Linked DNA regions of Tribolium castaneum. Each later gene encodes a partner of the first gene's protein in a complex. Links are inferred from orthologs where the notes say so. Each region holds a gene or a part of one and is shown on either strand. Other genes may lie near its edges.

The links.
Region 2: Polr2H (region 1) and Tfb5 share a complex: the UniProt entries of both Homo sapiens proteins name them as parts of the TBP-based Pol II pre-initiation complex. The link is inferred for Tribolium castaneum from reciprocal best matches to the Homo sapiens genes POLR2H and GTF2H5.

What each region holds. Positions count from the first base shown.
Region 1 is NC_087396.1:10,332,582-10,336,509, reverse strand, and holds the start of Polr2H (DNA-directed RNA polymerases I, II, and III subunit RPABC3), read left to right. Parts: upstream 1-953; 5' UTR 954-1,016; coding exon 1,017-1,089; intron 1,090-3,928. Other genes in the region: Epp (ecdysteroid-phosphate phosphatase), read right to left, coding at 139-334, 381-621, 674-786. UniProt on the Homo sapiens protein: DNA-dependent RNA polymerase catalyzes the transcription of DNA into RNA using the four ribonucleoside triphosphates as substrates.
Region 2 is NC_087399.1:6,497,729-6,501,143, reverse strand, and holds Tfb5 (general transcription factor IIH subunit 5), read left to right. Parts: upstream 1-1,214; 5' UTR 1,215-1,321; coding exon 1,322-1,356; exon of another isoform or gene 1,357-1,403; coding exon of another isoform or gene 1,404-1,785; intron 1,786-2,246; coding exon of another isoform or gene 2,247-2,473; exon of another isoform or gene 2,474-2,479; intron 2,480-2,500; coding exon 2,501-2,687; 3' UTR 2,688-2,772; downstream 2,773-3,415. Other genes in the region: hydroxyacyl-coenzyme A dehydrogenase, mitochondrial, read right to left, coding at 40-616, 671-784; meiotic nuclear division protein 1 homolog, read right to left, coding at 1,404-1,785, 2,247-2,473; heix (ubiA prenyltransferase domain-containing protein 1 homolog), read left to right, coding at 3,197-3,415. UniProt on the Homo sapiens protein: Component of the general transcription and DNA repair factor IIH (TFIIH) core complex, which is involved in general and transcription-coupled nucleotide excision repair (NER) of damaged DNA and, when complexed to CAK, in RNA transcription by RNA polymerase II.

The DNA.
Region 1 (3,928 bases):
ATCAATTTATTTACAATGTTGAGAAAACATGATTAGTAATAATAAGGACCAATCATTATCTAAATATTTTTCTGGTAATCAAAAACCAACAAAGTTACAAACATGCCCATCTACTGGTTTATAGAAAAATCGACTTACTAGCATTTGAAACTTCTTTAACATATTGCATGGCAATCCTTTTTAAATAATCAGCGTGCTCCTCCGCCACAAAAAACCCCATAAAATTTGGAGAAGTATACGTTTCTAGTTTTAGGGGCTCGTTCAACATAGCGCCCTGCCTTTCCATTACGGACTTTAGGCTTTGCGCCAGATGTAGGGCGTCTTCATCAGGCGCCTGTTACACATCATTAAACGAATTCAAAATTTATCAAATGAAATACCTTAAAAAACGAAACTAGCGTAATGTGCGGCGTGAAATTGTGGGCCCCGTTCCAGGCGCATTCCCTGTGCGACTTCTCCCAGAAGGTCTGTAACTGTTCCAGGAAAGGTCCCGTGGGACACGCATATAAAATGTACTCCCTTGGAGAGTTATCGTCCAGCAATGGGTCATTTACGTGGGCCAGTAACCAGTCGGAGGCCAACTGCACGCCCCTGTTACCAGTGGCAGCTAAGGCCTTTTCGCTGTGTGTAATTTCAAGTTACCCGAAAGTTTATTATCATTTTGTTTACTCACGCTCTGTGTTTGGGGAACCCCATCTGGAGGAGGATTTGTAGCGGGGTCAGGTGCTGTTTGGATATTTTTGTAGGTGTGGGGTTCCTCCTAGGGGGTAGTGTTGCCATTTTCATTTAATAAATTATTAATTTCAACTAGGTTAAAGTTTGGTGTTGACACTTCTAGTGGACCTTTGACATTTAAACAGTGACGTTTTTGTTTTGGTTTTGTTTGGGGAATTGGCCTTTCAGATGGCGGCACTGGTTGGAACACTGTCAAGTGTTGATGTCTGTCAAAATTTGCCCATTTTCATAAGAAAGTATTAAAGTGTGTTAATTTTTTATTATTTACACGTTATTCGACGATGGCAGGTGTCCTGTTTGAAGATATATTCAACGTGAAAGATATTGATCCTGAGGGAAAGAAATTTGATCGAGGTAAGTGGCTTTTATCGTCTGTTTGTTTGGATGTGTGACCGGCGTTTTTGAGGTTATGTTTTAACGTTTCGTAAAATTGCTCGAAATTGTGTTAAATTTTGAATGTATTTAAAGTTTACATCTTGTCTCATTTACCTCTGAATTTGGAAAGCGTGTGTATGTGGTTATTAATACGATAATACCGTCCTACTCTAAATATTGGTTATACCCCCCCACCTGTGTCCTAGTTGTGGCATCGATTGGTCTTTTTTAATGCATTAAGAATAAAACCAATAAAAACAGGCAGATAGAATAGATTTTTTTTGGTTAGAATTAATTACTTGAAGGACTTATATTAATAGAATTATGCAAAATTAGTCTTACAAAATTTTACTTTTATACTAATAATTTTTTAACGTATTAATTTTTGTTTAATACTTGTGTGGTTTGTAGGTGGTGTGTATGGGTGACATGGGCCGGCCCCCATTTTTGTTAAAACTGTTCGCTGTTTGAATCATTTGTGAAGACTGATGAATTACATGAATTAATTGTAATACAAAAAGCAATAAAATACATATTAAGAAACACGTAGGGGTTTAGAGCATTCTAGCTGGGATAATAAATGGATATATTAATTACACTAGTTTACAATTTTTTTTCTTTTACTAAGAAATCATTTCTACTAGGTAATTTTGTTTTCTACTTACTCACTGATAACAAAAATATACAGGCTATTTGGCAACACAGTATTAAAAAAACATTTAGGGTGTATCAAAATTGGCGAATTCCGAGTTCTGAGCACTGTAGAGAATTGCTTTAGTAGTCCAAACATCGAAAAGAGTTATTAATAATACGGGAGCAAAAACAAAAACTTAAAGTTCGAGAACTTTAAAAGCGTTTTCGCATGAGTGTTATTAAATTTTTTTTTTTGGAATATTTGAACTTAAATGAAAACACGTTGCTATGGGAAAAGCGTTTTAAAATAGTGTTTAAAATCTAGGATTCAGATATTAAAAAGAAGGCTTCAAATGTTACCAACAAAAAAATATTCGGGGCTGCCTCACAAAGATACATTGGTTTGAAGATTACTCTTTGAACTGCGTTTTTTTTAATTCAGCCTATATGTTTCAGTGTTTATTCTTATTTGTGGTGACGATGATTGTGAAGAATAATAACTGTGAACGATTTCTCAAAAAACTAGCTTTATTATTTTATATTTATATTTATTTTTTTATATTATTTTGGAGTTTTTAAAATCTTAATTTTTTTAATTTGCCGTTTTGTTTTTAAGAAAAATTACAAAAATTTAAATTTTTTACTCTAAAATGAAGCTGATTTTTTGAAATATTGTTTTACATTATTATCTTCCACAATCATCTACATCATAAGTAATAAAAATGAAAATAATGAAAAATTTTTAGCCTTCATTTGAAGAAAACGCAATTCAAAGTGAGCTGACGTGCACCTTCAAACCACTGTATCCTTGTGGGGAAGTTCCGAATCTTTATTTTGTTTTTACATTTAGTCTAGTGAAGTGATTCTTTACAACGCTCTGACCTCGGAATTTGTCAATTTTGAAACATCCTGTATGTTACATTTTTCTATCACATCTAGTTTTTTTTTAATGTTCACTAAAAGTTTTGAAAATTGGTTTCTGGTGTCTAATTTAGCATCCGTTGTTTCTGTGATGAACTAATTGTTAAACATTTTATTTGCTTTAAAATATCATTAAGTGAATGTATTAGACTTACCGATACGCATTGGTTTCATCTATTGGCAAAAAACGTTGTAAACTAGTGTTATTAGGAACTGAAATGAATAAAGAGAAGAAATACAAAGTAAAAAATTAAACCGACGTTTAGAAATATTACACTTCGAATTTTCCAAGTTAATACATTTTATTAAGTACTCCTACACATTTCAAAATGATAAAAATGCGATTTATTTTTGTTTCTATCATATTGAAATTAAATTGTTAAAAAGAAAAAGAAAATCAGTTGTTCCAGTAAAAATTAGTTAAAAATATTACAGGTAATAACACTGTAACAAAAAGTGAAAATTTTTGTTTTTATTCTGTATTATTACTATTATTAGTGTTTATTGAAAGCATAGGTCTTTTTGAATAAATTTTTGGTCACAATTTATTTTTAGTGTCGGTCTGCGAAAAAAAAGTGGGGGTTGACAATTTTTGATTTTACTCAAATTTAATAAGATGTTGTGATGTTATCCATGAAAAAGATTAATAATTAGCCACAAAACAACTTGTAACTTGATTAAATGTAACGAAAAGAACACAAATTAGTTATTAATAACAGAAAATTTGGTGGCACAACGCCAGTGGTCCTAAATTATGTTTAAAAAATCTAGTCATACATGCCTGCTTACTGGATGGTTCTAACAGGTGAAAAATGGGGTCTTCACTGTTCAATGTTATAACGAAATATGTCCAATTTTTGTCATTTTGAGAAAAATATAGAAACGTATGCTATAAAGTCCCTCTCTTTCAAATGCAATAATTGTTTTTGCAATAGAGTGGTTTATTTAGATGTTATTAAACAATTTTGTTATAACACCGAAAATTTGTGAACATTTGTTCAGCAGAATAATGAGATAAGTCAGTCAATCGTTTTCTCTCTATAAGTCTACAAATTACTATTAAATGTAAAGTAATATAAAAAACTATAAATTACATCTGACCTTTCATTTTGTGTGTTTTCTATAAATTTAAAGACAGTATTTTTAAAGGAGTGGTTTTTATTAAACAAAAACATTAAAATAGTGGTTCGTTCTAGCTCTTGGGGTTAAAGGTATTTCCATTTAAAAACAACAACTCAAAAAAATGTATATGTTTATATCACTC
Region 2 (3,415 bases), on another chromosome or scaffold:
TCAGCTTCGCTTCGAGCTTCAATATTACATAATTATTACCTCTCTCCATCATCCTGATGGCTTCTGCTATATAGGGCACCAGAAGCCTGTTAACAATAAACCCGGGGGTGTCCTTGCAGGTGACGCAGGTCTTGCCCACGGCTTTGCCCCACGCCATAAAGGCCTCGTACGTCTCCTGCGACGTCTCCGGAGTCCTAACAACCTCCAAAAGCTTCATAACGGGCACGGGATTGAAAAAATGCAGCCCCCCGAACCTATCCTTCCTCTTCGTAACGGAGGCAATTTCGGTAATCGAGAGCGAGCTCGTATTTGACGCAAACATGGTTTTGGGGGGCGCGACCTCATCCAAATTTTTGAACAATTTGTGCTTAACATCCATGTTTTCAACAATCGCCTCCACGACCAAATCGCTGTCTTTCACAGCTTCGGCAATGTCGGTGCACCCCTTAATCCGGGCCTGCGATTCGCTCACGAATTTATTAGCGGCTTGCGGGTCATCCTTGTGGAGTTTTTTGGCGACTCGTACCAAGTTTTTCGCAATGCTGTCTTCGGCTTTTTTGATCAAGTCGGGGTTGACTTCCACGATGGTCACGTTGTGGCCGGTTTGCGCGGCCACCTAAGCAAGGGGGCGAATGTTAGGTTAGGTTCGGGTGGTTTGGGGTACACTTACTTGGGCGATGCCTGAGCCCATGAGGCCGCCCCCGATCACAGTTACGTTTTTTATAACTGCGTTCATGGGGCTTGAAGTTGAAAGGCTTCGCTTGATGAACAGGTTTAGGGCCATTTTTTCGCGTTCGGTTACGAGTAAAAAGTGGTGTGTAATGCGGATTTTGTTTGGTTTATTAACGATACAATAACTAGGTGAAAGTCCAAGTTTGTAACCTATGATCGACTCCCACCGCTACGTTTGTGTACTTTTTAATCATTTTATCGTTTATGGCGAGATTAGGGCTCAGAAGTGAAAATCATCGTGCCGATGGTTTAAAAATAATCCGCTTTCGATAACGAGTGCGACTTTTGTACCTGAATTTATTTAGGTATTATGTAATAAAAGTGCAACATCATTCAGTCAAGTGGTACACAGGAGGGTTCCAAAATGGGGCTATATAGCAATCCCTGTTATCAATTTATCCACTTTTTTCAAAGAAATACTTGAAAAAAAATATAATTTTGGGGAAATTTGTGATTATGCAATCAGCAATACACGTGTGAGAGGTTAGTTGCATTCTATAAGTTGTCAAATGTCATAAAAACACCAACTTTTGTAAGAAAAATAATTTATTTCTGATTTAAAAAAGTACACAATTCTCGATTATCAACAATGGTTAATGTAATGAAAGGCGTTTTGGTGACCTGGTAAGGCCCTAACAATTTTTTTGAGTTTTTGTTTGACATAACCTCAATCATGCCAGATAATCCAAATCTCCGGGAATCCCAAACTGCTTATTTAAAACCTTATCTTCCATCATAAACTTCCTTTTGCACCATGATTTGACCGCGAAGATATTATCAGTCCATCGATTTGCTGCTTCTTTTACCGGTTTTATCTCACTTTGCATTAATTTCAAATTTTGAGTATCTGTGTGAGATTTCGACAGAGATTCGAATTTTTCTTTCTGTTTTTCCAGTTTTTCAATTTCCTTCAAAATCTGGCTGTCGTCCCAATTCTCTTTCCCCACCTGCGCTTTTTCCATAGTTTCGTCAATTAATTTCAATTTTTTTGTTGACGATTCTAATTTCGTTTGAAGCTCGTTAAGTTTGCGTTTTTTCGCGTTAAGTAATTTGCTGTAATTAGGATAAAACGTGTTTTTGGCCCGTCTATACCGTTTTTCGGACACTCTCCCAGTTATCTCAGTGATCTCCGTTATTATAAGAGATACGAGGTCGGTTAAATTAGGGCAAAGTTGCGCATTTTTATGCTGAACAATTATTTGAAAAAAAAAATTGTAATTTTCGTTTTTATTTTTTCAAGTGAAAACCAAAAGAACTAGACGTAGGACTTTTTCGGGCACTTTTTACAAGGAATCTAAATTTGTCATCGGATTTTCCTAGGCTTGCTTGATGTCAGAGTTACAACACTTAACTTCGTTTTTTTTATGGGAAAAAAATAAAAACGAAAATCATTTTTTTAAATTTCTCTCAATAATTCAAAAACTAAAAATGGCACATAAAATTTTCTTTCAGAAATTGTTTTGCATACAAATGCACAACTTCTCAAAAAAACGGACACCCTGTATAATATTTACCTGGGAAAAGCCCAAAAGTAGACGGAACTCCCGATCTTATCCTTATCAACAGAACCATCATCCACCAAAGCTTGGACCACTTCTTTCACAGAATTCGCCGTAATTCCTTTCTCCTTTGGCGCAATTATTTCCAATTCATTCATTTGATAAAAATCCCCAGTCTCGTGAAACAATTGCAACATCCTAGCCTTTTTCTCCTCAAAACTTAGACCTTTTTTCTTGAACATTTTCCCCTAAAAAATGCGTTGTTTCAGTGACCAGGCCATGAAACAATTCCTTTTGTATTTAGATGAGACTACAAAACTAGGCCGAAAATTCATAATTCAGGACTTGGATGAAAACCACTTATTTATTTCAGCCGATATTTTAGAGACATTACAGGCAAAAATCGACGATCTGATGGACCAAATTAGCTTCCCAGTCGCCGAAAAAAGCAATTAATTTTTTGTAATTTGCAAAAGTGAGGTTATGTCATATTGATGTGTGGTCATTCGAATTATAAATAAAAAGCGCAGCATTTATATAATGACGTGTTTTGCTATAAATAATATCGTTGCGGGCCGGTTTTCGTCCATACTTACGCAATAAGGCACTAATTAACTGTTTTTTCAAATTGTCGGTACAAATAATACAGTTCCCTGTAAATTGGAAGTGGCTACAATTACGCTTCTTTGATAACCGACTATTCTACAGTTGTTACGCCATCACGAACATTTTTACACACAAATGATAAGAATAGAATTAAGCAATAGATAACGGAAACGTGTCACTAATTATAATTTTTCCCTGATTTAATAGCCGCCGTGACGTAACCACAGCCACATGTCAAACGTCACAATTGACTTCTTTGGTTATGTTCCGTTTGTCAAAGTTATAAAACGAAAAAACGCGTTTCTCGGCCACAAATCATCAAGTGTGTTAAGTTCCGTGTCAGTGCATTTACCCCCATCATGACGGTGCCCACCCCCAGCGAGAAACTCCTCACCAATGGCTCCACCACTCCCAAGCGCCAAAACGGCCAAAAATCGGGCCTCATGAAGCTATCAAGTTACGTGCTAGCCTTGCGTCCGTGGTCCCTCAGTGCCAGTCTCATGCCCACACTGTTGGGCTCCACCATAGCGTACAAATACCCCGGAGTTACCGATTTCAACTACGCCACCCTCCTGCTC